Schizosaccharomyces pombe: one gene and its partners. The gene in region 3 interacts genetically with the main gene of each other region. Each region holds a gene or a part of one and is shown on either strand. Other genes may lie near its edges. The genes, in order: oxr1, mak1, laf1 and sec28.

The links.
Region 1: mutations in laf1 (region 3) and oxr1 together harm fitness more than expected from each alone (negative genetic interaction), as found in Schizosaccharomyces pombe (one large-scale study listed by BioGRID).
Region 2: mutations in laf1 (region 3) and mak1 together harm fitness more than expected from each alone (negative genetic interaction), as found in Schizosaccharomyces pombe (one large-scale study listed by BioGRID).
Region 4: mutations in laf1 (region 3) and sec28 together harm fitness more than expected from each alone (negative genetic interaction), as found in Schizosaccharomyces pombe (one large-scale study listed by BioGRID).

What each region holds. Positions count from the first base shown.
Region 1 is NC_003424.3:3,669,436-3,675,898, forward strand, and holds oxr1 (V-type ATPase inhibitor and disassembly protein in response to oxidative stress Oxr1), read right to left. Parts: upstream 3,935-6,463; 5' UTR 3,665-3,934; coding exon 3,098-3,664; 3' UTR 2,491-3,097; downstream 1-2,490. Other genes in the region: translation initiation factor eIF2B epsilon subunit tif225, read right to left, coding at 1-1,661, 1,731-1,855, 1,899-1,960, 2,005-2,062; DASH complex subunit Spc34, read right to left, coding at 4,865-5,359; ABC family Fe transporter Atm1, read left to right, coding at 6,091-6,463. UniProt on the Schizosaccharomyces pombe protein: May be involved in protection from oxidative damage. Has a role in meiosis.
Region 2 is NC_003424.3:4,706,570-4,717,298, reverse strand, and holds mak1 (phosphorelay sensor kinase Mak1), read right to left. Parts: upstream 7,591-10,729; 5' UTR 7,330-7,590; coding exon 7,261-7,329; exon of another isoform or gene 7,161-7,260; coding exon 2,310-7,160; 3' UTR 2,038-2,309; downstream 1-2,037. Other genes in the region: mug51 (variant protein kinase 19 family protein), read right to left, coding at 1-729; kinesin-like protein Klp3, read right to left, coding at 8,341-9,566, 9,640-9,793, 9,839-9,912, 10,121-10,220, 10,274-10,384. UniProt on the Schizosaccharomyces pombe protein: Involved in the control of the SAPK-dependent transcriptional response to peroxide stress. Also has a role in G2/M regulation.
Region 3 is NC_003424.3:5,247,998-5,254,640, reverse strand, and holds laf1 (clr6 L-associated factor 1 Laf1), read left to right. Parts: upstream 1-2,406; 5' UTR 2,407-2,606; coding exon 2,607-3,500; 3' UTR 3,501-4,121; downstream 4,122-6,643. Other genes in the region: RFC-like checkpoint protein Rad17, read right to left, coding at 1-868, 926-1,029, 1,073-1,283; vtc2 (polyphosphate synthetase), read right to left, coding at 4,474-6,510. UniProt on the Schizosaccharomyces pombe protein: Component of the RPD3C(L) histone deacetylase complex (HDAC) responsible for the deacetylation of lysine residues on the N-terminal part of the core histones (H2A, H2B, H3 and H4).
Region 4 is NC_003423.3:2,324,388-2,330,502, reverse strand, and holds sec28 (coatomer epsilon subunit protein), read right to left. Parts: upstream 3,030-6,115; 5' UTR 2,998-3,029; coding exon 2,967-2,997; exon of another isoform or gene 2,923-2,966; coding exon 2,087-2,922; 3' UTR 2,002-2,086; downstream 1-2,001. Other genes in the region: gpa1 (G-protein alpha subunit), read right to left, coding at 1-165; put2 (delta-1-pyrroline-5-carboxylate dehydrogenase), read right to left, coding at 3,601-5,247. UniProt on the Schizosaccharomyces pombe protein: The coatomer is a cytosolic protein complex that binds to dilysine motifs and reversibly associates with Golgi non-clathrin-coated vesicles, which further mediate biosynthetic protein transport from the ER, via the Golgi up to the trans Golgi network.

The DNA of each region.
Region 1 (6,463 bases), 1.6 Mb from region 3:
GAATGGCATTCTCTTCAGCAATTTCTAATTGGTAGAAATATCCCAAAAGTTGTAAAAAGTGCCGAGTCATACTCAAACGGACACAGTACTTCTGCAGCGTTAATACGTTGTCAACTTGCTCTTCATGGCTAAATGTCAGTTTTGCAAGCAATGGACCCCAACGTGTCATTACTTTTGCTAGTGCCTCCTTGGGGGATACATCTAAGTGCATGATACGCCTTAAAAGAGCAAGAACAATTGCGGATCGCACCTCGTGATAGTTGGCATTCATGGCCATTCGGAGGGTATTGAGTTCAAGAGCAGCAATATCAATTTGGTGGTTTTCTTCAAAGGCACGTTCAAGACTCTGCTGAGCTTCCTTGTTGAAATCTCCTTCATCGAAATCCTCTGAGTTAATTGTATTGGCAGAATCGCGTCTAGCTGAAAAGGGAATAAATTCCATATCTTCTTCAGAAGACGAACTTGTCTCTGAAGATTCTGAATCAGATAAATGTAACTCATTTGTACTTTCAATAAGCCCTGAAGCCTCCATAAACTCTCCCTCATCATCAGAATCCTCTTCGGCATGATATTCTTGACCACGTCCACCAATCCCTACCAAAGATGGATCGTTCAAAGTTCCTTGAGAGTGACTCTCGAAAGTTGTAAGACGCTTATTTTTTTCAATTATTGTATTATCCCCAATAACAACGCCTGCAGCTACTATAGCACCATCTTCAATTGAACAATTATTTCCAATTTTTACAGAATTGGCAAGAATGGCTTTGCCAATTCGACAATTATCTCCAATGACAACATCTTCCCAAAGGAAAGCACTGTCTATACTACAATTGCTGCCTATGGTACAATTCCTACCAATGATAGTATTCGCAACCACAGACGCATCACCGACTTTGGTATAGGCACCGATCAAAGTTCGTGCCTTAATAATGCAAGAACGAGCAAGAACAACGTCTTCTTCCTTATAAATCTGATGTCTTTGATAACTAAAAGTTTGGTTAAGAAGATTGCTATCGGGAACAAAAGGATAGACCCATCGAGAAAGAACATCTTTGCTAATAGCATCATAAGTTTGAAGACTACGAACACGAGCTGCATAATTTTCTTTAGCAACATGGCAATGAATCTTTTTTCCTAAAAGATCAGAGGTTAAAACACCATATACGAAGTCTTTTCGAATGTCTTGGTAATCAAAGTTTTCAGTAAAAAGGGCAGGTACATCATTGGAGCAAATGTCAATTTGACAGTCAATCAAATCATTTCGAACCTCCAACTCTTCATGCTCATTAAAGATTTCGGGATCCATAGAAACATAATGTTTTCCCCTTTCGTTAGCTTGATAATGCACGCATTGGCTGGTCTTTTTATCTATCACGAAAACAGAACTCTCTGTACGGGCGCGTGTACGATGAAATGGACTTGCTTCTCGTACAACCATTGTCATAATAGCATTTTTATCATCTTCACGGCGCTTCCGATGTTCTTTCAAAACTTCGTTTAGAGGCACATTGGATACCACATCGCCTGATACGAGTATGAAATCGGAGGTAATTAGCTGTTTTGAATCGAGCTCTCTTAAAGCATCACCAACCGACAGAGATTCTCTTGACACAATCGTGTTTACACTAAAGGGGGAAGAGGGAAGATTCCACTTTGACTTTCTGTGGGTTATATTGTGTTAGTTATATCGTATCAGAAATTCGAATTTAAGACCTCAATTTAGCACATACTCTATATATTCTCGAATTTGTCCTGCATGGGCACAGCAAAATACATAAACTTCTTGCACCCCGGCCAATGCCAAAAACTCAAAAGTGTACTCTATTAAAGGGGTATTTGCTAAAGGAAGAAGACACTAATAATATTAGTACTTAAAGTGTACACTGGTAATTGCATACGCGAGGTTTATCTAATGTAAGAGGGCGAAACCGATAATTATAAGAATCCGACAAAACAATCGCTAAAAATTAGTAACAAACACTTTTTGAATCCCAAAAACATTACCTTGCAGAGCGTGTTTTGGCTTTTCTAGCTTGCCATTCAGCCCTTTGGATGGAGGCATTTCGACAATGTAGAGGGATTAGACATATTTCTCAATATCATTTAAGCCCAAACAGTCATTTAAGGATGCCGTGCTCCACTGCCTTATAACTTAAAGATTATTCTAAACAATTCATCAACTAGAGACTAAAAAGGAATTTATAAAGACGTTAATAATCAAAGAGTAATTAAATTTAGGATATTAAATTTGCATAGCTCATTTCTTTTATAGTTTATTGGCGAAAGAAAGTGGTTTTATTTAAGTAACCACAAAAATTCCACATAATAAACAGAAGATATAAACGGTGATTTATCCTGTTAAGTTGGTAAATTTTGTCAATTTGTTTTCTACAATTGGGTAGTGGTTGCAAACATTTTACTAATCTTATGGTAGTTTATCGAGATTTGAATACAGGTTTCAAGTGTTTACACGGTAATCAAAAAGAAACATAATAAATAAAACTTCATAATAATTATTATTACTGATATAAAGTGGATGGTAGAAATCGATTCGTCAATTAGGGACGATACGAATTGTTGATGAAAAGCAACCACGTGAATAAATATACTAAGTGTAGCATTAAAAGTTATGAATAGAAAAAGAGAAAATTAATAAATAATAGACAATTGGGGAGAAGATATTGGGGATGCTCTTCATTTGATTCGTTCACTCAATGCATAAGGCGTAAAGAAATTAATAGCAAGGATATTCATGCTTGATCAATTAACAAACGTAATCTTCCGGAATTGAGAAGAAGTATTAAAAATTAGCTGATGATAGAAAGCTATACATCACAAATGGGAGGGAAGAGTCCTACGGCTCGAATTTCTGGTAAACTCGATATTCATTGATTGAACATGCAAATCAACGAGTTAACTTGAATTAAGAATAATAATCAATGCATAGAGTCAGCATAAAATTGTCTTTGGTTGAATAAATTAGTCATAAAGAAAGCACGGTAAAATATTAATCTTGATATAAATATAAAACTTGGGCTGATGCACATTTCCGAGTCCATCTTTTATTTTCTTTTTTCTTTTCATTCGTTAGTTGATATTACTCCAATACCCAGAGCTCGATGTCCACGATTTGGATTCGTTGGTCAGGACAGCCACGATAGCTCAAAGGATTGTTTTCGAATGCAGGAGTACGACTAGAGTAAGCGTACTCTAGAGAGCCATCAAGCCAAAGGCTGTATCTTCCATTACCCCCACCAAATGCCAAAAAGCTTTTGGTGCAATATGCAACAAAATTGGAATTTCCTACGAAAGGGTAATGTACATACTTTTTGGGAGGAAAATATTTCCACAAGAAGGTTTCCTCGGAACCAAAGTAATGAGGTGCAGGAATTAAATAATCAGGGATAAAAACTCCAAAAACATCGCCGTCTGTATCGCGCACAGCTAAAATGCAAGCCCCTTTAGGATGGCCGCTTCGAGCTTTTTCCTTTTCGCAGGCTAAGTACATTGTTTGAAGAGATGCGCCGTCATGTTGCAACGAATAGATTCGTTTCCAAGTTTCAGCAGAAGCATATCTTGCTGGCAAGTTCTCAACGATGTGACTGGCCAATTCATCTGTTATTAAGCCGTCTTTAACACTATACTGTCTTGTAAAGTTAAACATTTCAATTGATACAAAATACTTGCTAAAATTTTGTACTCTTATGGTGTGTGTAGTTAGAAAGATTAAGGTGATCCACTAGCCTTATGTAATAAGTAAACAAATAAATAATTGTGAATACAATAACAAACACTGAAATAAACAACAGTAAGTGTATTCTTTAATTTTCCAAAGAAGAAGTTTTTCTTAATAAAGGTATTCTTATTGATCCTTTTTTATTGTTTTTTTTGAGAAATCGAGTAAATAATTTTTTTGGCGTAATGTGTGATTGTTAAGGTGGAGCAGCAGCCTTGGTATTAGCAATTAAAACATTCGTTCAAATTCTATCATTCAGTAACAACAAAAAATAATTATAGTTGACGAGTCAATAGAAACACTATGAACCTGACTTTTACTCTATATTAATAATCAAATATAGAATAAATACATAGTGTTCCATTACTTGCTATCATACTATGCTATTGAACTTTTATTTATATCTTAAATAAAATCTTTTAGAACTTTTAAGAACAAGTATGTACTTATGTTTGTATAAATATTAAGAACTCATTACAACAAATGAGTCCAATGCAAAAGCTGGCGTTGAGCCAGTAATCTAATTGCCGTCTTTAACTTATCATGAACATTATTGTATTTTTCACATACTATTCTATAAATGAGAATATTACAAAAACAATGAGTTATTATGCTCCTGAGTTGTAATGTACTTAGTTTGCTAATTATCTTCGTTCAATATCTTTGCCGCTTTAGAGAATTCCTGGAGCAAACAGTCCAAAGATTCTCTTCTCTTCTCTTTATGTTTTTCATATTCTAGGTATTCATAATCCTCTAGCTCTTTTGTAGCCTTCAAAGTAACAGTAGACGAACTTGCTTTTTTCTTAGCAAGCGACATTTCAATATGCTTTTTAAAGGATGATATATCAAAACATCGACTTCTTTTTTTCCTCTTCAGCTTCATCAGTTTGTATTGGGAGTAAGCCGATCGATCATCTGACGTCGAAGGATAACTGCAATCAGAAATATCTCGGGTGCTTCTTTGAGGATGTAACTTCAAAGGAATGAGTCCATGGTCTTTTATATCCTCGCTTAAATACATTTCTTGTTCTTTGCTCAAATCCATGATAAAACAACGACCTCGCTTCTCCTTTTCTAAATGTTCACCAATACGAAAAGTCGATCTGACTACCAACGCAAATAGCCTTCCTAAGATTGTATCAGTTGCTTCACTTTTTCAATTTCTCTTTCAAGTCTTTGGATTTCAGAAGTTTCACGCTGTAGAATATTCTCCCTAGCAGACACCTGATCGGTTTGTCGTTTTTCAAGTTGCTGCAATTGCTCTTTCTGTTCCAGTAAAACGTTTTCCAAATTCTCAATTCCTGACATATGTAAGTTGTATTTCTCAACCAGAGTCTCCAAATATTCACGGCCACCTTGCATAGGATATATATCTAGTAGTTCCTCAATACAAGCAACGTAGTCTGCAGGGTTTTCTGATGCCAACCTTTCACTCCAATCCTTCGGTAGAGATTTGAACTCAGCTGCAATTAGTTCTTCCTTCTGAGTATCGCGAATTAAATCAGTTATAGCATGAGTATGTAGCACCGCGTCTGTGAAACGTGCTGCGTTTGGGTTTTCCGGTTCCAAAAGTTTTTCTGATGTAGCAGCAATAGACTGTAAATAATTCAACAAATCAGACATTTATTTAATAAGTCATCAAAAACACTAATTCGACTCGTAATTAGTAAAAGGTATGTTTCAATTCACTTTACCAGAGTTGCCAAAAGTGTATGCAATCTCTGGGTGTGTGCAGGTGGTTTAACCAAAACGTAATAAACGTTTGGTATCTTTGATATAATGGAAATCACCTGTGCCTGTTTTTGAAATTCTGTTCTCGCTCAGCAAATTATTTTAACAAAGGTAAAGCATTGCGTTCATTCCTTGCTATTTTCCTTTATTTGCTACACCGAATCATTCTTACGTTTACGCTTTAGGCACACATTTCTTCAGCTCAGATTATCCATTAATAATTATATGTAAAACTTTTATAAAGGTTAATACACGCTAAAAATTTCGTAATCCTCAGTGCAGTTTTGATGAGTTTGCAATTGTTGGACTCTACTTCGCAATCGTGATCTAATCAAAATCTACAACTTTCTAAGTCTGCCAGATTTATAGAACTAAAGGTTTGAGAATTATCCTTCTCTTAGTTCTTTTATTCATATATACCATCTATTAAAAAGTTGCCTCTTTGGAGGCTATTTGAGGTTTTTCTGACTGAACGTTTCGTCTGTTTTTCATATTCTATCAGCCAAGTTTATTCTATTTAAATATAGATTTAAAAACTTTAATTATCTTAAATAGAAGAGCAGTATATTGGGTATAACTAACAGCTTGAAGCTCTGACATCTTAAAGTGTTGTATTAATAAAAATGCTAGAACGATGTCCCTGGAAATTAATCAGCTCGCCAAGAAATATTCCAGCTCGCTCTTTTCTTAATTCTCGTGGAACTTATCTTGTTTTAAGAAAGTCAAATATATTACCTCTTCAACATATACTGCGGTTTTCCAATTTTGCATCTAAGCAATGTTTCCCACTTAGAAATGGAAATAATTCGGCTTCAAAAGCGTTATGGAATAACAAATCAAAAGAAAAAGAGCCACTGAATACTTCTGTTAAACTTGCTTCCGATGTACCAGATGATAAAAATGTAACAGGACAAATGATTGTTAAGGACATGCTTCAATATATTTGGCCCAAGGGGAAGACTAATTTGAAAGTTAGAGTTGTTTCGGCTCTCGCAC
Region 2 (10,729 bases), 540 kb from region 3:
CGGCCTCTTTTTTAAATAATTTGACAAGTCGTTTCTGCTGTTACGCAAAATATGAGTAAAAATGCCAAGGTTGGGTAATGAGATTCCGTAAGAGTCAGTGCCAGCAAGAATAAGAAAGCCCATACTAATCAGCAGTCGTCGTTCCTCCCAATTAAATTTCAACTCCTCGGATGTGTAGGAAGGTAGTGGATTTTCAATCAATAGTTTATGCAACTTAAAGATTAGCGTATAAATATGTTCCTGATCTTTGAACTTGCACAAATAGTATGTAAATAATTTATCAAACTCAGGTCGCAAAATTAAGCAAGACTCACCACAGAACTTGTCAGATCTATTTAGGTAAAGACGACGGATGTCTCCTGTACGTATAGATTGTTCTAACTCTTCAGCAACACTGGTATAGTTTGATTGAAATAAGCCTATCAACTGTGTTTCCACAATCATTCGCGGACACTGTGCAACTAAAACATTCGTTTGCTGGCGCATTTGAATGTCACGAAACATTTCCTCAACTAAAACTTCTATAGAGTTTCGTATCGTTTTGTTTCTTAATACAATCAATGGAGGAACATTGTACGAAATGATGTTTAATGGTGATTGACCAGTACACATAGATGCTTTAGAGTGGTTTTTTTCAATTGCTAAAGAAGTCTTTCTCCTTTTGCTAAACAGTCTGTCTATTTTAGTCTGTCCATTCTTCTTTTTATTTATTTTTAATAAAGCAGGCATTGCCAAGGTAGGTAAGGGAAGTAACTTACTTTACAGAAATTTCGTTAGTCGAGTTTTCATCACCTTCAACATTTAACGCAGTGATTTTTTAATTGCCAGCTACGCAGTTTAATAACTATTTTAACGATACGAAAAACTGCAGTGAGTTTTCCTTGCGACTTATACAGTAGTACAGGAAAATAAGTAGCAACTCGTTAAAGATATTCTAAATTTGGGGTTACAATGTAACCTATTAGTAAAATAGTTTATAGTTGGGCTAAGGAACGAGGTTTAGTGGTGGCTTCATTATAATCTTTTTAATGGTTCATAACAGTGGGAGTCTATTTAAATTAATAAAAGGGTGGTTATCGGCAATTATCAATACACGGATTGAACTAAAATCCTAACATATGGCATACAGTGAGTGTTGCACAACTGTAGTGTCAGCAATACTACACTACGCTATGATACATTACGTTGCGTATCACTATATGTCATATGTTGGAATACTAGCTAAGATCCGTTTATTGATAATCACGGGTAACTATCCGTCTATATACATAGATACCCGTTGATAACAACTATTTAGAAATATTATAAATAGCGTTACAACTGAACCTCGTTCCTCAGTTCAGTTATGAGCTATATTAGTGATAGGTAACATTATAACCCAGTTAATACAATACCTATACTCAGTTGCTACTTATACAACCTGTGTATTGTAATATAATAGACCACAAGGAAAACTCACCGCAGTTCTACGTATCCTTAAATCAGATACCAAACTGCGTAGCTTACATGTAGCTAGTGTAGTATTGCTGACATGTAAAATAGTAATACTATATAACGTAGTATAAGTATTGATGCATTATCTAATCGGTTGTAGGCAAAGCCAGTAATTGAACTAAATATACTTTGTACGACGAAAGGTATTGATACCAACCAAGAACTTGTTTTTTCTTTCTGGACTGGCTTATAGCATTCCCCTTGGAATTAGAATAAAAATCCTGTCTACACAGTGAACAAATATATGTAGTGATGCATAGTGAAGTGTAGCATAATTTACGCTTATGGTAAGGGAAAAAATTTGCTCCAGCAGTGACTTGAACACTGGGCCTCTTGCTTACTAGGCAAGCGCTCTACCACTGAGCTACAAGAGCTAATTACGAATTACCTAAAGTTTGCATTTAACAATGAGAATGTATCCTCGAATTGATTATTTGACTGCTTCCTATACTTTAATTTGGTTTGTATTTCAAAACTGATTGATTAGCACACAATACAATTTTTTTTTTAACTTGCCAATAAAATACACATTACATTAAACAAGGGGAATATGTGATATTTAATATTATTATACTGGTTCTGGGCGCTGGAAATATAAATGCATTAAAAAGTTAATAAAATAAAATATGAGATGCTTAGATAATTATTATTTTGGAAAATATTCAAAATAAGAAGTTGTCAATTTAAATAAATATAGGCACTAAATAAGCTTTTGATCAAAACAAAGAAAAAATATAAAGTAAAAATAAAAGCATTAAAACAGTGAGATCCTTTCTAAAAATACAAGCAAAAGTGAGTGAAGATTAAATATCAAATCATTTGTGTAACTTTGATTGGTTCGTATAATTAAGTATGCCAGATATGATTAAGGACAAGTGTTGCAAAGTAATAGGTTTGGCAAGGTAAGAATCAAAACCACTATCTTTGCAGCTTAAAACAACATGAGGTAAAGCATTCGCACTAAGTGCAACTATAGGAACTTTAGGGTAATCGTTTTCCAATTCGTATTTACGAATTTCATTACATGCCTGGTAACCATCCATAACAGGCATTTGTAAATCCATTAGAATAAGAGAGTAAAAATTAGGCTTTTCACGTTTCCATTCTTCAACACATTGCAAACCGTCCATGGTGACCTTGAATTTGACACCAATTCTTTCAAGGTAACGGCTTATAACCTTAATATTGATAATGTTGTCTTCCGCCAACAACACGCTAAAGCCAGACTTTGCCAGATTATATCGGAGTGTTTCAGCATCAGCCTTCTGCTCCATTGCAGCCTTTCGAGTCATATCATTAAGTGCACCGATTTTCCCCTTTTCCTCAGAATCAGAATAAAATAATGGAAAAAACTTGGATGGTTTCACAAGTTTTAAAACGTAATGGATGCTTTCCGAATTACAATCCTCGCTATCTGAAAAAATCTTAGATAATGATTCTTTTTGTCGAGTGGAAGTCACCAAAATAAATTTTGTATCCTTGTATAGACTACAAAGTTGCAGTGATTTGACAAATAAAACATATGCTTCTATGTCCGGAAGATTTAATATAATATGGGTGACCTTGGATTGCATAGGATTCTCTAGCAATTCTTCAAAGGCTTCATAGGTATTTCCATACCTTACGATATCTTTAAATGAGCTTATATCGATAATTGATTGAAGCATGTTGCCAATCGCTTCACTACTGTATTTAGTGTGTGATACAACAACGGCTAAAGCACTTTTATCCAACTTGATCCCAGAAGGTTTGTTTCTATAGAGTCTCCAAAATAGAACTGTGTATGGATCAGCAGATGCGCCGCATCGACAAAATTCCGATTCAGAAGCGAAAGGATTCACATATTTGTTGGATTGAACATTTTTGTCCGATTCAAGTTTACGTCGGTTGCTTTCTCTTCCGGGATCTGCTTTATTTACGGCCAATTTTACAAAATTCGTCGCGCTTTTATCGTTTCCATCGTCTGCGCAATAATAGTCTTCTGTGCTTTGTTTGCTTTTTTCGTATGGACAAAAACAGACTGGACAACAACCATCTGGGGGTTCAAATTTTAGAGGAGTTTTATCCATTGTAAACGTTGCAGTCCACATAAAGCGCGTTCCCACGCCTCTTCTACTTTGACAGGACATACTACCATTATGTAGCTCAACAAGCTCTTTTGAAATAACTAATCCAAGACCTGAGCCACCATGTCTTGGTAATGTAGAACTCTCTACTTGAGAAAACGGTTTAAACATTTGTAATTGATCATCTCTGTTAAACCCTTGACCGGTATCAATGCATTCCCACTTTAAAACAACAGTATTGGTTGAGTAATCAATCTTTTCAACGGAACAACGAGTAAAAACTTCACCAACATTCGTAAATTTAATAGCATTTCCGATCACATTCAAAGCAACTTGCCTCATTCTCATATTATCCCCAAATACTATATCAGGAACATCAATGTCAACCGTGTAGTTCAATTCTATTCCCTTTGAAAAAGCGAGGGTACCTAGAGTTTCGTTTGCATCTTCCATCATAGCTCGTACAGAAAAGCGTTGGCTAGTTAGCTTCATCATTCCAGCTCTGACTTTACTAAGGTCCAAAATATCATTGATAACAGTCAAAAGAGACTTAGCTGATTGCTGAATAATACGTGCATAACTCAGCTGTTCGGCAGACATTTGAGTTTCCAACAAGAAGCTTACCATGCCTGTAATACCGATAAGAGGGGTTCGAATTTCATGAGACATATTGGAAAGATACTGCATTTTGCTCCGAACAATTCTTTGAGCTTCAATGTTAGATTCTTGGAGCTTTTCTTCCAACATTTTATGATCGTGAATATCAGTACAAGTTCCTAACCAGAGATTAGTAGACGTATCAGCAGAATTATTTACGCAAACAGATTTCACCAAATGCCATCTATAATGACCATCGGTAGATCTAAAACGTATCTCCGCCGCAAACGTTTTGGTACCATTACTTTCGTCTTGGTTATTAAACGTTCCCTCCAAAGATTCAGGCAATAAACATTTCTTGCGATCAGCGTGATATACAGCAGATAAAAACCCAAGTCCCAATGAAGATTCCAGTGAAAGACCTGAATAACTTAACCACTGCGCATTTGCATAAATAATTCCATTTTTACCATTTGCGGCAAAAACAATTTGAGGAGAAGCTTCAGCTAAAGACCTGTAGCTGTTTTCATTTGCGGCTATAGCTGATTGTTTTTGTAGTTCTCGTTCTGCCAACTTTTGATCATGGACATCCGTCATTGTTCCAAAAAAATGTAGCACAGATCCAGTGCAATCCCGTAAAGGAACCGCGCGACAGATAAAGTATCGATAAACATTATCAAACCTTTGCAAACGAATTTCATGATAAAAACCACTACCAGAGAATAATGAAGATTTCCAGTCATTTAAAAAGTTTGGCAGATCATCAGGATGAATTCGACTAAATTGTAGCTCTATTTGCTCATTCATATTTAAACCACAGTAAAGAAGAGTTTTTCTATTAACCCATGTGAGTTTTCCACTTCCCGGATCCGCAGTAAACACATGAACCGGTATAGAATCAATTATAACCTTTAGTAAGGGAAAAGGAGGCGCTTGACCACCACAATGCCCTTGCACATACTTGTGAGATTCAGAAGTGCAACAGGCATATGATTTTGATTTATCTAAAACAATTTCATCCTTCTTTAGAGTAATAGTTTCATTTGAATAATTTTCACCATCATTTAGCGAGAATCTCAAATTCTCGTTCACTTTAGAATTCTTTTTGCTAATTCGAGACTTCAATCTAGCTAGCAAACGATGCTTCTTTAAAGTAACCCATGATCGCTGGTTTTTTTTAAAAAATTCAGAAGGAACTGGTACAAACCTAGGCAATTTAGGTATGTTATTAAGAGAAGATCCTTTAGCATTGATATTGCAAAAGCTGCCTACGCACTCTCCTTCTTTATGAGGACAATCAGAGTTTTCGGAGCTCGCGCTCATACTCAACTCCTTGGTATTGTCAGTGCTAGACGTGTTAAATAATAGATGCCTTTGTGTAGGACAAGGAAGTAACGGAACAGATTGAGAATTTGAGTATGAAGAAAAAATAAAGGGTATCAAACGTTCTATGGAGGCTATTAAATTTTCCGGATAAGGAACTAAATTGGACTTGAAAGAAAGAATTGCAATTGGAGCTCTCCCACGGCTTGAAGTTTGATCCGAACAAGGAAACATCAGAGGAACATGTACAATACTGACAGCAGTTTCAGTAGGAAAACTGGTGAAGTCGTTCAAATGATCTTCTTGACGCCTGTTACCAGAAAAATTCATACCTTTACAATCATCATTAACAGCTGTTTCTGATACGGACTCTGAAGCAGACTTCTCTGTTGACGATTCAGTAGCGAAAGAAGATTCTTGCAAGCAATTTTGGAAGAATGGATTCCTATTAGGATCTGTTTGAATGGAGGGACTAGCAACTGGAGATCTTGACCAAGGAGAAAGTAAATTTTGTTCATACTCATCATAAATGTTTGAAGGTTCTTCCGAAAAAGACGAACTTTGTGCTTTTGAAATGTCACTTTGGGAATACGGTTTACGATTCTGACTGAAATGTGAAACAAATGCTCTCTTTTTCTGTGGATAAAGTCCATTTAACTGAGCTGCAGAAGCACTAATTTCAACCTGCTTTTTCAATTCATTAAGTTTTTCATCATGAAAAACTTTCCATGAATTCTTAATGCTGCGAATATCATCAACATTAGGTATAGAACTAAAGTAATCATTATCATGAACCTTGGTGTTTTTAACAATGTGCTGTTGTTTACGTGTATATACAAGCAATGTCGCACGCTCCAAGACTGTTTGTACAACTTTGCTATCAATAAGCAAATCCCCTTCATGTTTAAGAGAAGCTGGATCTTTGTATATAATACCCTTTGAACCATCCGAAGCAACTACGGTAACATAAGAACTGCTAGCAAGGTTGTCATTAACACTTATAGGGTTACTATACGGATCATAATGGGAACCGCCATCGTAATAACATCTGAGTTGCCAAGGAGTATTGTATATGTCAGAAAGGTCACGCGGTTCTACAACAGATATTTGAGTGGAAAAAAACTGCTGAGCGAAAAAGTCAATAATGTTTTTCCAGAAATTCATCAAACCGGTTTTAAAGACCAATAAGCAAGCCATTTCATACACATTTCCAATGGTACGGTTACGCTTCTCCTGTAACTGCTTAAATAAGTTAGCGGATGAATCTGTTTCAAATGGTTGCTCATCAGTTAGTGAGTGCGAAGCAGAAGTATTATCGTTGTTCAAAGCATTTCCACAAGAAGAAACGGATGGAGCAGGTGAATGGCATAATGAATTTAGTGATTCCCTAGATTTTTGAGGAGAATAGCAATCTGAACTCATTGAGGAGGTTTTAAATAACTCATTGGGACGTTTGGATGTCATCAATCGATTTGGATTTACTCGGGGAAAATTAATAAGTCGCTCATCCTCTAGTGAAGGAGAAGATACATTATTGAAAGAAAATGAATTTCGATGCTGCCTATTTAAACTGGTGGGAGATTCAAGTATCGGAGAATGAACAGAGCCAACAGAAGAGTTTTGAGAATTAGTAAACGATCCTACAATTTTTGATGATTTTTGCAGCTGGTGGTCCATGGCCTTATTCAAACGTTAGTAATTTAAATTAATTAAGTAACAAGAGATATCACATTTTATTTCATATTTAAAAAAGGAGAATCCAAGTATTGAAATCACTTACCTCTTTCAACTTTTCCAAGTGAGAATTAGAACCAACGTTATTGTTGATTTGATCGTCAGGTGGCCTCATTTTTTTAGACTAAATTTACAGGCCAGTATAGATACTAAATAAAACAAAGTTTCCAACTGTAATTACCAAAAAGAAAGTGCTATCTTATAAAGATCGTTTCAAATAAAAAACTGATGTATTTGAGTTATTTGACCACGGCAACCAGCAATGGAAATTATAAGCGTACCATTTAAAACGCTTTTTTCCTAGCGACTTTACAGCACTGAAGATTGGTAAAAAGTGTTCGAAATAGGGAAATGAAACAACTCAACAAGTTGTGTTAGCAAAATGTAAATGGATATTGAAGATCGCGTAAATGTTGTTTAGCGAAGATTGGTGGCTAGTAAATATGATCGTTCTGTTAGAAACAAGTCACTACACTATACTGTGCTGCGTTAGTTCAACTTTTCATAATATTCATGATTCTCCGTATTTCCATCCTTAGTGTAAATCTTCTATACTAGTAGTTTTATAACAATGCATTATGTTGATACATTCAAACCTTCTTTCCTGACTTCAGTTATAAGCCATATATGTGTGGTTATGTTAGTGTATTCAATATCATAATTATATTGATACAACATTTTACCATCTACGATAAACATCCTACATAAGATTATATACATCGCAAGTAACACTTAAACTACAGTTCGTTGTAGCTTAAAAAAGGTAATGATTGCTTAGCCAATAGTCAATCCTTGCTAAAGAATAGTAGTCTCAGATTACTAAATTCGCTGATTATATTATAACGGTAAATTTTTATTGAATTGTTATTACATCATCATTTGAGATGTTACACATTTGCTGAATAAGCATATAAACAATGCATTGCTGCGTAGCTGTTTTCTTTTATATTATAATGCTGCAGCAATATAAAAGAAGCTGCATAAATAATTAGTCAGAAAATTAGTTTATTCAGAAAGCAGCTAGACGAGATGCAATATTTCATGATTAAATGTGAGCTCAACAACTCTAAAGAAATTAATTAAACATATATAATCCTTCGCAAAGCAGAGTAAAAAAGTGTAGCTTTTAAGTGCCCCCTTGAATTTTCTTAATTACTGTTCCATTTTGAGGTCGCTCTTTGGAAATTAAAGCTTTAATCAATTTTCGTTGAACATTTACTAGAGCAGCCAGTGAGGAATCCAAAGTACTCAGTTTTTGTAAAAAATTGTTTCTCTCGTTATTTATCGAAAAATTTTTATCTTTCTGTTCTATTGTAAAACCCGGTTTGTCATTTAATGAGTTGTTTGCAGTAAGATTTGAATTTACTCTGTGGTTTTTAACAAGCTCAACATACCGCTCCTGAGCATCGCCCAATGCAGTCATAAGGTCTGACAATTGCTGTTTAGTGGATGATAAAACACCATCTCGTTGTTTAAGTTCAAGTTGTGCTTCAGCATACAAACGATTGATAGAATCAGAATCAAAGTTATGTCTGTGTATCGAAGCAACTGTGCTTTCGTCTCTGTCATTATTACTTTCCTGAATTGTTCTATTTCCTTGAATGATTTCTGCTTCCTTTAAGTTGGATTTTTCGGCGAGATTTGACAGTGTGAGGGAATGCTCGCCTGACCATACGTTAGAATGACAATTATTATAGTCTAAGTTATTGTTAATTCTGGCTCCACAAACGCAACGAGACAAAGCATCTTTATAAATATACAGCTGTCTTTTCATTTCATCAACAGAAAGTTCTGAGTTTACTACCGCTTTGTTTTTGATGCTCTTTGCACGATGTCCAAACCTAAGAGTAGATAAGGTCTCTGTTGCATTGTATGAATCTGGTGAACAGTTAATAATTAGAGTGGTCCGAGAATTTCCACCAAGAGACTCTTTTAAAATACGCGTTAACTTGGAATCTCTATAAGGAACATGTGATAATTTGCTGTCTGTGAGAGAATTAATAACCATTCCAAGAGTTGAAAGAGAACGGTTTATTTTCTTTGCTTCTTCTAAGGTTTGCCCGACTGCTCCACTTTTTCCTACGCTTTCGGAACCTGCCAAGTCAACTAAAAACAACCGGCCTCGTCGAGTTTCGCCGGACTCAGTGTCCGTTTGGACAACTTCGAGTACAAAAATAGAATGAGACCGTGAACTTTGCGCATTCATCGACGTACTTGCAACGGCACGTGACCCCATACCTTTATTTAAAATATCCAATGCCTCCGTTTCACTTGATACGTAAATCGTTTTTAAACCTTGAACATAAACTCCCTGAAGTTTATCTTCATGAACCGTCAGTCTGTCATTTTTTTCTGTAAATCATGGTTAATTTTGCTGAAATTAAATACGAACGTCGCAAAATTTCTACGGCATTTGAAGGCTTACCGGAAAGTAGATCATGAATTTTTTCCATGTAGATTTCCATGTATGATACCTTCACTTCGTATTCAGTAGTAGATGGTGAATCGCGGATTTTGTCAAAAATACGCCTGAGCATTCTTGGAGTCATTCCTTCTTTTTCGAAATTATTTTCAATACCCTAAAGATTGTTAGAAAAGTGTGCCAGGTGAAATTGTGAATATACCATCATGGTGTATGTTTTGCCGGATCCTGTCTGTCCATAGGCTAGTACTGTTCCGTTATAACCCAAGAATAAGTCTATAATATATTAGTACATATTTAATGAAATTCAGAACAACTTGAATGTGATTCGAACAATGTATTAAAATGGCAATTCGTTTCAAATGAAGCGTCAAAACGAGCGCATATAAAAAAAGGCTATGCTATAATTTCATACAAGCTGTTGCTGACAACGATGAAATTAATCCGTTCAACGCCGTGTAAAGTTTTACTATCATTCACATACCATCGACTGTCGATTCAATTGAATACGAAAATATATCATTCTGAGTGCTAGAAGGATGAAAAACACGATCGAATACAAAGTTTCCTGAGTAATCACTAGTCTTTTAATCATGTCAGCCGAATTCTAAAGTAAAGATCAATTGTTGAAACCTACCTCGATATGAACAGTAGAATCGTTTAATGGGTATATCACATTATTTCCTCCAAGGTCTTGTTCCAACTGGTTCGTGGGCCGAATTCGGCACACTACTTTAATTGAAGTCATTGAGTAAAACTGCTTTATAAAAAGATAAAAAATCAAATAATGTATGATTAAAACGCAGTATATAAATTAGATCCATACATCCAAAAAAATCATTAAAGACAATATGTGAGCGGGCTAATTTCATATACAGGGAAAGACGAGGTTAACCTAACATGGTGCCTCTACAATAATTGTTGTTTAAGGCAACGTATCAAAAACAGAATAATATCATGTAATTAACTACATAATTGTTTAATGTTAAAGCTCGAAGTGTGAATTAAAAAAAATAAATTTACAAATCAACAGGCTAAAATTGTTTACTTCCTTCTACATATTCTTTTTTTCCTGATATTATTTGAAGATTTA
Region 3 (6,643 bases):
CGTCCTTCTTGAAAAACGAATTCTCATTTTTATCGGATTTTGGGATATACGCACTTTTATAATTTTTAAATCTTGCGTAGGCCTCCGAATCGCTTTTTGACAATCGTTCAAGAACCTGCGCAGCTTCTAAGCTAAAATCATTCCCCTTTCCTTTCCCCTCTTTTACTTCTCTAATATTTTTTGTTCCTTTCTTTTCAAAAGATTGAGAGATCGATAATTGTAAGGAATTTATCGCACTCCTCAAATCCCCTTCGCTGGCAGAACAAATATTCTCCACCAAACTCAACAACTTTGGAGACTTGGGAACACCCTCTTTACGTAGAATAGAGCCAAGGCATTTTTTCATGTATGTCGGCGCAATAGGATTAAACTGTAAAACTGTTACACGTGGATCCTGAAGTAGATCATTACCCATTATCTGCACGCTATTAAAGGAATTTCGATCTTGACTATTAATACCTTCCAAGTTGTTTAACTGTATTTCTGTAAGAACCATGATGATGGAAAAGGCGCCTCGCGATGTCAATGCGGTGCGAATGACATTACGAAAAGCATCAAGAGAGCCATTGAATTTAGAAAGGTGAGGAATTTCATCCAAAAAAATAAACTTTTTCTTTCCTTGTGCATTTTTTCCACGCTTTTGAATATTATTTGAATCCATAAGCTCTAACTCTGGATAAGTTTCGCATAAAGACATAAATCTACTAAACTTTTCCGTGAGCGAAAGTGTATCTGATTCTTGGTTTGAAGGCTCTTTTAGGTTCATAGGGTTTAGCCATTCTATGAGACTATAACCTAATTCTTTAGCCAAGACCTGAACTGCGGTACTCTTTCCACAACCAGAAGGACCACAGATCAAAAGTAACCTCTATGATTTTGTTAGCCAAGAAATATTTTTGAGAGAATTAGGGGAGATTTAACATACACTTTCTAAAGAATCCGTTAACATCCATTGCTTAATTGCACTTATTTTGCTTTTATGCACGGCAAGATCAGCCGCTTTTTGAGGAATGTATTTTTCAAACCAAACTATGCGCACCGTTAATTTTTGAACCTTTTTAAATTTTCTTACGTTGAAATCGATCTTCTTTTAAATTATTGAGATGAACAATTTTGTTTTCTTCATCAGAAAAGGCTTCAATATCTTCTTCATGAATATCGGTTATCGAAGCATTTTTGTCGCGTGAAGTTTTTGAAACTAGAGAAGGTTTTTCAATCTTTCTTATTTTCTTCTTTTTTAATGATCTCTTTGTAGATTCATGAAACGACAACTGTCGCCTCATGCCAGATATATGTTTTATTCAACAAAGAAATAGGAAGCTAAAGGTAGAGACTTTGTAAATCATTAGATAAAATATATATTAATAGTTCACAAAATTTTAACAGCACAAAAAAACGAGTGAATTGATTAATTTACTGCTGACAAGTAAATGTGTGAACTAGTGAAAATATACAAGTACTGTATATGGAAGAGAATAAGTGAGTAGGTTTCTTAAGTACTCTGAAACTGCTTCCTATAAAGAAGAGTAAAAAAGACATGTGTATAATTTATTTATAAATCATTTATTTGTACATTTCTCTTATTGTAAGATATATTGCGAAAGTATTTATTACAAATTTACTTTTTTTTCTCATACTGTAAACAATGATCATCAATAAAAAAGTTAGCTTTTTAATTAATGAACATCTGAACGATAAAGAATGAATAAATAAACAAGTAAAATAGTGATATATTTCAATTGAGAAATTACTCTAATGGACACAGAAATGTATTTCTCTTCATTTATAAAATCAAACAATTGGCATTTTCAATTATGTCGTATATGAGTGCATTAGGAACTAGCAGCTGGAAAGGCAAAGCTGTAAATATTAAGAATATAGTAATGAGTATATTTAACCTTGATTTGGATTGCGACATTACACTGGAAACCAAAGGAGGAATTGTTTCATTAGAAGCAGTCTAATAATCCAATGTTGCTGCATCAAAACTCCCTATTTTGTTGATAAACATAGTTAGCCGAGCTCTAACTCTTTAAGAACCGATATGAACTCCATTGGGAAATGAGCAAGAATAGAAATCAACCAACACTACAGAAAGTTCATACCCATACATCTAATGTGGTACTTTTAATCCCCTATCCATCAGTATTTCGCTTGGCTTAATTATATTTGATGGGATGTATTTCCTTTTTGGAATTGATTTTTCGCATAATACTGGAAACAGAAACCCTTGTGAGCAAAGAAAAACTTGGGAAACCCACTTGATTAATATGGCAAATAATTTTTTTCTTCAAAATGGCATTTATTTTCCATTTTGTATTTACCATTCAAGTAACATGTTTTTTTGACAACCTAACCCTACCTACCGGTTTCGACATGTGTTCCATCCATCCTTGGGATTTTACTAACACCAACAATCGTTTGGCATAAGGTGAAACTTGGAATTGCTGTTGGCTGTAAATTTCATCTAAAGTCGGTCGCTCTTTTGACTTTTGCATAAAAGAATTGTACATAAAAACAACAATTTGGAGTAATTTCAGAGTCTACTTGATTTAATTGAAAAGGTTATCGACAGCTTGCTCGACTTTATCAAGGAAAAAGGTAAGATGAAATCGAGTCAAACGCTTGTTTATTCGATCCCTAGAAATGTGGAGAAGGACACATGTGCGGCAGCCATTAAGGCATATCAGTACCTAATATCTCCGCCGCCTTCTCCCATTCCAAATGACAAAGTTGCAAGTACTGTTGATGTACCTAAGTGTTCTACAATACCTGAATCTCCAAAAGATTCTATTGTGGAACCAAAGCCGACAGCAACACCTGTTGCGCAACTGCATTCCAAGGTTTACGATCTGTACCGAGATTCACCTAAAATTTGGCTTCGCCGAGAAAGGCAATGGCTTCAGCGTCATTCTCCAGCATACAGGTTTTCGACTCCAGCTGCCAAACGTCCAAGAAGGCAACCCAGCTCGTTTCTGGATGTGCACGCTTCTAATACCCGTAAAAGAGGTTCTCCTGATACGCCGGACTCGGGACATTCAACTCCGCATTCAAAAGGAGATGTTCATCCTGGAATGCCTCAACATAATACGCGTTTCAAGCAGTCCAGTAGGGAGTTTTCCTCCAACACCCAGGCCATTGATGTCGCCAATACACCATATGAGCTATTGCCTGATTATTCTCCTGATATGTCTGTTTTGGATAAACGTTCTCATCCTCGCCCCCTTCGTAGCGAATGGAAGGGCCCTCCCCTTGATCTTTCCAATGATGAGAATAGACACCTTTTACATCCTGCTGAGCTACAGTTGGCTGCAACACTTCGATTGCCTTGTCTCGTTTATCTTGACAATAAGCGTAGAATCTTTGCTGAGTGGCACAATCGCCGTACTCAAGGCCTAAGCTTTAGGAAAACAGATGCTCAACGTGCTAGTCGTGTCGATGTGAACAAAGCTAGTCGTCTTTGGAAAGCTTTTCACGATGAAGGTTTCTTTGACGACTAATTCGCGAATCGTTCATAATCCTGCTGGCCTTTCAAAAAATAGATTTTTTCTCTCTTTTTCTCTTTTGGCGGGTTAGGGAAATAATCAAATTTAAAAATTTCGAAAAACCACGGATTTCATTTTCGTTGGATTATTTATTTTTTTCTAGGTGTTTTGAATTTTTTGTTTACAATCATTTGCATCTCGGTAAAACCTTTCTTTTTTTTTTTGGATATTTCGTCTTGAAGTCGGTGTCCATCGTTTTATCTGGCCAATAACCAGTAGTATATACCTCAAGTCCCTCTTTTCTTCCTTCGTTCACTTTTTGTTTTTTTATCCTCCCAAAGATGAAAAGCATCATGTAGTCAGCATTTGTATTAAAAAATTCATTAATACAGATGTGAAATAACTCTCTTTTAAAAACGTTCGTTTCTCCTATTTACAGTAGATATTGTTATTTTTATACCTAATAACCGATAACCATCAGTTCCCTAATCAGACGGATTTTAGGGGTTTTTAGTTATTTTACTCTACTCAATTAGATCCAATGCTTAGCGGATAATTAATAATTGATTATTTATTCTTTGCTATTAAATTAATTAAACCATAGAAATTATAATGGATGTCCGACGTTAATATCCCAGTATTAATATACCCCAGTGTTGTAATGTAATGAATATATGGTCAAATCCAGCTTTTCTTAATCCTTGCAAAAAAAGTAAATCGACACGTAAAAACTTGCAATACCCGTGCAAATTTTAGTAAAAACCGATAACATATATCCCCAAACCAATTAACCAATATAATAACCCAAGAGCCCTGCTCTAAATGAAGTTTTCAATCTTATTGCAATTTTCAACTTCACATTGCATCTAAATCAAGAATTTACTGAAATGTTATCTTCTAGCTTTCTAAAAATTTATTGCATTTAAATAGTAAATCCAACGTGTAATAAAAGTTGGAAAAATCCCATGTTGAATGATATCGAAACTTCTCAAGTAAACAATTTAACAAGCAAACGATCAGGTTCAATGAGATTTTGATAAACAGCATCCTTAAGTGCAAATGACATGTTGACAATAAGAGAAATAGCCAAAGCTGTTCCTACAATCAATGGGCCCCAATAATCAGTCATTGGCGCAGGACTGCGGGACTTGATCATTTGAGAACGCTTGGCATGAAGCTTCCAAGCATAGAACCCAATGAAAATAGCTAAAAGAGTATAAACTACTCCAAAAGCCTGACCAAGTCTTTCTCCAGCACTATTATATAATGCAAGAGCAAGAGAACCAAGCAAGACCACGACATGAAGCCACTTCAAAAACGTACGCTCATTTGCAAGCCAAACTTTGGCCTCAACCTTAATCGGACCACTGACTCTAAGCGGAATCTCTGGTTTCTTGATATGGGGTGGAGTAACAAACGTTTTACCATGATGCTTAAACGATCCATAAGTAGATGGCTTCAGCAAACCAGGTATGCTTCTGAAGTTGAAATGGTCTCCGTGCTCATTTCGATACACCTCTCTATTATCTTCGGGCTCTTCTGAAACAGGGTGCATTTCATTGGCCTTTAAACGATTGACCAAAGGTGAGGGTTGACTAGGTTCGGGTGTCATATTCTGCTTTAAAACTCTTTGATTCCTACGTTTAATGTAAACATTTCGAGAGCCCGCAGATCCCTCGGGATGGGAGTACACCTCTTGAAGATCTTTTCGAATATCTTGATCCATTGAAAATACCCACATTGGTAAAAGAGATACGTATTTTTCAAAAAGAATTGCAACACCATGCTCATATTTCGAAAAACCATCAATTTCAGAAATTAAATGAGAATTACGCAATTCAGAGATCCAAAGAGGTTCGTCTTCATCATATCTAACACATTCACGGATTTCTAGGACACTATAAGGGAAACGAGAATACTCTCCTTTTCTTAAGTGCTTATATGGGAAATCAGCATCGTCAATATCGTGACGATGCCAATCTTCGGGGTCTCTACAAGGACGTTCGATGTCCAAAGAGTCTTCACGAATCATAACCCAGTCTGAGTCAAGATTGATACGAACCTCATCATCGCCTGGAATCTGAAATGCGGTACGAGTGTAAACAGAACGGAGAACAGGCTGCAAGTGATTGTCAACGATTAGCTGTTCAACATCTTCAATTAGTTTCTTCTTCTGATCAGAAGCAGTTGTCGAGTGATCATCCTCAACCTTCCTAAAATCATATCTCCCACTTAGAAGCTCTCTAACCTTCTTCTCGCGGATAGTGAACCGGTCTTCACTATGTGAAAGAGTACTTCCTTGACGTACCATTCGTTCAACGATAATATCGGTTTTGGGAGTTAACTTTCCATACCAATGAAGTCGCAAAGAATAAGCCTGTTCTGATCGTTCCAAATTTTGAGAATATAAATCAAAGTTGGAATTATCTAAATACAAGCAAGTTGATATAGGATCCAAAATTCCAGATACACCATTTTGGTCTTTGTCAAATCCTTGCTTTCCAGAGTAATAAAGAACAGGAAGATGCCTCATAATGTATGTTTTTACTTCCATCACATTATCAGGATGGACCCAAAAACGAAACGTACGACGACGATACATACTAGAATTGTAATCAACATTGTGCTCATGCTTCGGTTTCACTTGCACGGAGTTACTTGGTGCTGAAAGACCATCACGTAAAGTATTATAAAGAGAGAAAATTTCAGCTAAAAGAGGATTAAATTGGACACTGCCTAAAGGACAAGCGCGAAGACGAACCTGAAACACAGGACGAAGAGAATAGCCGGGATAAAGCTTATCATGCTTCTTAACGATTTTAAAGAAACCTGTTAAGTTAAGACGAGTGTACTTCTCCAACTTCTTAACCGTTTCAGTACAAGAATCCAATCGTTCTAGTAACTTGATGGCTTCTTCCTTAGAAATGGGAGGACCATCAGGTTCCTGAGAAGCAGAAACTTTAGATTTTACCCAATCCACTGATTCATTTAATTCTTTCAAAATTTCGAGATGAAATGCATAAACCTACAGAAAATGTTAGCAAACGTTAAGCGTGATAAGCTTATTTTTCTTAAAATACAAGGATTTATACCAAGCATGGAATTTTAGATAACAGCATTCTACAGGAGCAACAAAATAAAATGTGTGATAATTTCAG
Region 4 (6,115 bases), on a different chromosome or scaffold from region 3:
TTGTGGTTTTCCACGCAGGACGATATTAAGCCAGTTTTCAAGGACTGGAACTCGAGCGTTTTGACTTCCAGTTGTAGAGCTGTTTGAGGTTTGCGTATCTGAAAGCTTCTTTTGAATGACTTCTCCTCCTGATGTATCAGCGTATTTACTCGACATGCATCCCATGGTGAAAAGGCAGCTACAGATTCCAAATCCCCACAAGGAGATAATTCAAAGTCGAGACAAAGAAAGTTAATCTCCGCAATTTTCTGTAAAAACAGCAGAAAAGGTGATAAATAAGGATTTTTGGATTAAAAAAGAAATAATAGATGTCGTTAAATCTCAAATATTTGTGAAGTGGACCCAACTATAAGCAAAAAACCCAATTGCCAGATAATTCCAAGAGATCCAAAAGAATACTATTATATAGTAAAAAGAAACTATTATTTAAACAATTTGGTTAAAAAAACCAGGAGGATTCTTTGAGAAAAATCGTGTAATGACACAAACAAACTTTGGTATTCGTAAACAGTCAAATTTATTATACTATCACGGTTGCGATAAGGTATTAGATGAAATTAAATCAAGAACTGTTTAATTTTTGAATGAGAAATCAGTGGATCAACTCCTTTAATGTAAACAAAGCAACCCAAAAAACAAAATTGCGTACAATTTACAAAGAAACCAGGGTTTTAATGAGCAGCAATGGTCTCCAACTATAAAGGGAGTTACAAATACCTGTTCTCCTTTAATACTTCCTAAATGGATACTAAGATTGCTAAGCCGTCAAAGAAGTTGAGATGTTGAAAAAGGTAACTACAATGCGTGTACACTATCAGGTGGTAAGCGAGCTATTAGAATTCGTAAGAATGAAACAATTACAGAAACAAAGGCTTTTTACTTATTGGAAAAGTGAAATCGTTATACTTTCACTGGTACGTGCTTATAGTGTCTTGTCGATTTTAACAGAATATTTTTTTGTATGTCTAGTGATCCAACGGACCTGGCAAATGTCAACAGTCCGAATAAAAGAAGTTTCTACAACAAAGACCTTATCTAAAAAGTTAAGTTGATAGTACTTCGGTGTATTTACATCTGCATTTTTCTCTAAGAGCAACATCCTCACAATATGTGCCCGCTTTCAATGCTATAGTGCGAATTTGGAAGAATGGGGAGGATGAAAATGTACAAATATTTGACAGTATGAACTTCAACATCATTTATTAATAGGATTCAGAATGAACAGTAGCAAGTATCTCTTTTACTCTGCGTACCGATTCAAATCTTAATACAACAAATGCGTGTATGTAGTATGTGTTAATACTACACAACAATCCAACTATTTTGAGCGAAGTAACGCTAAATTTACAAAGAGAGTTACAAACTGATACGTTCATACATGCTTATTTAAGTGTTCGATGTCGCAAAAATGAACGTTTGCTAGTTAAAGAGTTTTGATACATGTTGGGGTTAAGCAAATGTTGGCATATATAGTTGTAATCTGTCATGGTGCCACTGCCGTTTGAGCAAGTTCATCTTCGATTCTTAAAGTCTTATCGTTTAATATCGGTTTTCTTGCTTTTTCCAAATTCCAAACACCTGTGTATTTCAAAACATCTTTCTTTTCTATTTGTAAAGGCAAACTTGTTGCTTGTCATTTTGTGGCACTGCAGGTTTTGAGTAATTTTGGACAAGAACCACCTATTCTAGATTTTTAAAAACAAATATATAGGTGGATAGTCATAATAGTTCATTTTTAATTAATGAATGTATTTGATAAATAAAAGTAAACGGTTTAAAGACGCTCCTGTTGTGACGGCGTTCATTTAAATGTTTCATTTCGAGATATATTCGGGTGCGTTTTCTTGTTATTATGTCTACATGAGTCTTCTTCTGCATGCGGTTAAGTATTTCTAATTAATTAGTTTAATACCTTTACTTCTGGTAAACTTGAAATTTATCGAGGCAATACTGGATTGACTTGCTTTGCCAGACAGATCAACGAGCCATTACTTGAGTGAAGCAATAGTCAATGAATAAATACTAAAAATGCAAACATTTGAAGTTTATTAATGGATTGAAGATTCTAAACAATATTATTATTGGATTAAGCCGTACTCAAAAATTGAGTTGAAAAAGTATCAAATTCTTGCGCCTTTTCATTTAAATGATCGTTCAACTTCAGTGTAGAAGAATTTGTAAAAGATGAAAGTATATTCTTGGCTTGAGAAGGAGCATCAGGGCCTAAATCCGTGATTGCAGTAGTCATATTTGATAGTGCCTCCTCGTAATTTGGTTGAGAATCGAGGGCAGTTTTCAGCGAGCTCAAAGCCTCTTCAGGTCTCAACAAGCATATGTCTGCACACGCCATACCAGTTAAAGTCATTGGATTGCTATCAGTTCCGTTTAACTCTTCAAAAACATAAAATGCATCATTATAGGATTCGACGCCTCCACTAACTATTTTAATCCAAGATTGTGCCAGCTGTAGTACAATTTCTTCATCAGCCCAATCCAAAGCCTGTTTCAATGTCTGTTCAGCAGCTTCAATTTTGTGCTCTCGTAAATGAATGTATACTTGAAGCGCCACCGCCTCCAAGTTCTCTACTGACTTCTTTAATAAATCCATTGCATCATCAAAAGAACCATTTTTAATTTGAAAAATAGCTCCTAATGTTTGTACCACACTGTCTGAATTGCCATGCTGGTCAATAATTAACTCCATGTTCCCCTCCCCAGCCAGCGCCAGAATAGCAGCTGATCCAGGCGTTTTTTGAGTTAAAATACTTTGGATTGATTCTAAACTTTCACCTAAAGCTAATTTTGCCCTTGCCATATAAATTTCGGTCAATTCAAGACCTTTTTCAGACATGGATGTCGTGTCAATTTCAAATAACTTTGTATAGTTTCCACTATAAAAGTATTGACGAACAAAATACAGTTCTATCAAATATTAGTTGTTATTTAATTCCCAACTCATCTCTTACCATTAGATAAACTAGCCTCCCATGAAAACATGTTAAAAGTTTTAATTATGTTGGGCGATGTGTGGAGTAGAGAGTATGTGGGTTAATGGTGTTTGTACATGAGTAACCCTACAACAAAATGTAAAGCAAACGAACTTTCCATCAAGACTTGTAATTTTTCTAATTGCTCCGAAGCCTAATATAATATATTTCGCAGTCAGCAAGTAAAATGTTCGATAATTGAGATCCTTTTTCTACAGGTCGTTGTTGTATTCAAGAATCACCAGCAAACTACATTTTGGTCCACTGGCTTTTATATACAATGCAACAAATCTAGTGTTATAAATCAATACATGTTAACAAAGCGAACATTATAATTTATTAGAATAACAAATGGCGAGCTTTAAAAAAAAAGAAAAAAAAAAATTGTAAAACCTAGACTACCTTTGAAAGTTTGAGTTTAACTCAAGGTAACTAATCAATATATATATATATATATACTTCCTTTATTCCTCACATATTGTACTAAACCCAAAAAAAAAAAGGTTGTGGTCTTTTTTATGGCAGTATCAAAGTACAGAGTAAAACACTCTACAACTCCAATGTCTATCTAAATTCTAAAAATTAAATCCAAATCAAAAAGGCCAAAACAAACTTAAAAGTTGGAAGGGTATAAAACAGAGTCTGCATAAGCAAACGTATCTTTGATGGAGCGAGGAGAAACGAATCGAGACAGAATCATTCCGCTACCAGCTTTATCGTTAGTACCACTGGCACGAGCACCACCAAAAGGTTGTTCACCAACAACAGCACCAGTACACTTATCATTGATATAGAAGTTACCAGCGGCATTACGGAGACGGTCAGTCAACTTTCTGACAACAACACGGTCCTGAGCGAAGATGGATCCGGTTAAACCATAAGGAGTGGTAGTATCGATGAGATCGCAAACAGCGTCTAAGTTGTCATCCTCATATACATAAACAGACAGTACGGGGCCGAACAATTCGTTAACGAATATATCATGTTTAGGGTTTTTAGAAAGTAAAACGGTAGGTTCAACAAAGAAACCTTCGGAATCATCAGCTTTACCGCCAGCCAAAACTTCAATTTCAGAATCGGAAGCAGCACTCTCAAGAACCTTCTTCAGTTTGTTAAAGCTTGCTTGATGGATAACAGGGCCCACAAAATTAGCAAAATCAGTTAAAGGAGCACCGACCTTAAGAGACTTGACCTGTTTGGTAAGCTCATCACGGAAACCATTTTCCCAAGCATACTTAGAAACGTAAAGACGAGAAAGGGCAGAGCACTTTTGGCCTTGATATTCGAAAGCAGCACGAACAGCATTAACAACGGCACTCTTAATTTCAGCGGAAGAATGTACAAGATGAAAGTTCTTACCACCAGTCTCACCGACGATTTTGGGGTAAGTGCGGTATTTTCCGTTGGCAACATTCTCGCCAATTGTTCCCCAAAGGCTACGAAAGACGGCTGTGCTACCAGTAAAATGAAGACCAGCAAACTCAGGGTGGTTGAAACAAACCTTGGAGACTTCAACAGCGTCACCAGGGATAAATTGAAGTGCTCCAGCGGGAAGACCAGCTTCACGGAAGATTTGGTAAACAATGTAGCTAGAAAGGACTGCATGGTCAGAAGGCTTCATTAAAACGACGTTGCCCATGAGAAGGGGGGCAGCAGCCAAGTTACCAGCAATAGCTGTAAAGTTGAAAGGAGTAATGGCATAAACGAAACCTTCCAAAGGACGATATTCCATACGGTTCCAGACACCAGGAGTGTTTTCGGGAGGTTGGCTGGCATATAATTCACTAGCATACTTGGTATTGAAGCGAAGGAAGTCAATGATCTCCATTCCAGCGTCAATTTCAGCTTGCCAGATGTTCTTACCCTGGCCAATCATTGTAGCAGCCATGAGCTTGTAACGGTACTTGGTGCTTATCAAATGAGCAGCCTTCAAGAAAATGGCAGAACGGTCAGCAAAAGGTAAGGATTCCCAGACCTTCTTTCCACGAAGTGCTGCCTCAATGGCATCTTCAACGTGCTTGGCACCAGCACGGTGATAGCGAGCAACGACCTTTTTGTGCTCAAAAGGACAACGCTGCTCACCAATGGTATTCGTTTCAACTTCCTTACCATCAATGATGACAGGGATAGTGACAGGTAATTCAGCCTCTAACTCCTTGTAGGCCTTGACGATTCCCTCTCTGTCAGCACTATTGGGACCATAGTGTTTAGGAGGCTCGTTCTTAATGGCAGGTAATTTGAACTCAGCAAATTGTGACATTTTACTTAAAAATGAAATAAATCTAATAAGTATTAATATCGCATAAATAAAACGTAGAAAACCTAAAGATAGAAAGCAATGAAAAGACGCGTAGGGGTCTCACTCAAAACAGTTATTACATAGATATAAATACTTACTAGTTTCAATCCAAACGTTTAAAGAGCGTTAGAAATCGTTTCCTTTCTAATCGCCTGTATTGAGGTATTGGTGTTCTGGAAATATCCTGACAGAGATTTGCCTCTTATATATATACTCCTATATATTCTTATAAACAGGTAGTGTCGATGTGATCGCACTCCGTGGAATTTGCAATTTTGCTTAAAAAATCAGCTAAAATATTGATTATGAGACTTATAGAAGTGAACCCTGAACTTGTTGGTCTTTGGTCGTATTATTTGATTTATTTCAAAGGGAAGTGTTTTAACTGCTTTTAATCACACTCGGACATCTTCACATTATCTTACCGAACTATTAAATAGATAGCCTGAAGGCTTGGAATTGTATTTCGCTTAAATTGTAATCTAGCGCAAATCTTTATGATTGTTAATATTAAACTCTTGCTTCGTACTATTGAATCAGCTAGCTCTTTGCAGGGATTACTTCAAACTTAGTTTTGCATCCGATCCTCAGATTGTGTATCTGATTTAATTTATGAGTTCAAACTATAGTTGCAGAAAACCGAATTACAAAAAGAAGTAGGAAGGAAACATGACACTTTTTTAATGTTTATAAAATAGTAAGATATCAATAAAGCGGAACGAGTTTTTGTCTGATACTACAAAACAAATTTTATCGAAATGATGATTTCAGCATTTTGCATTGATATAATTTTTGGACAAAAAAGCTTTTTTCCAATGTTCACAAGTAG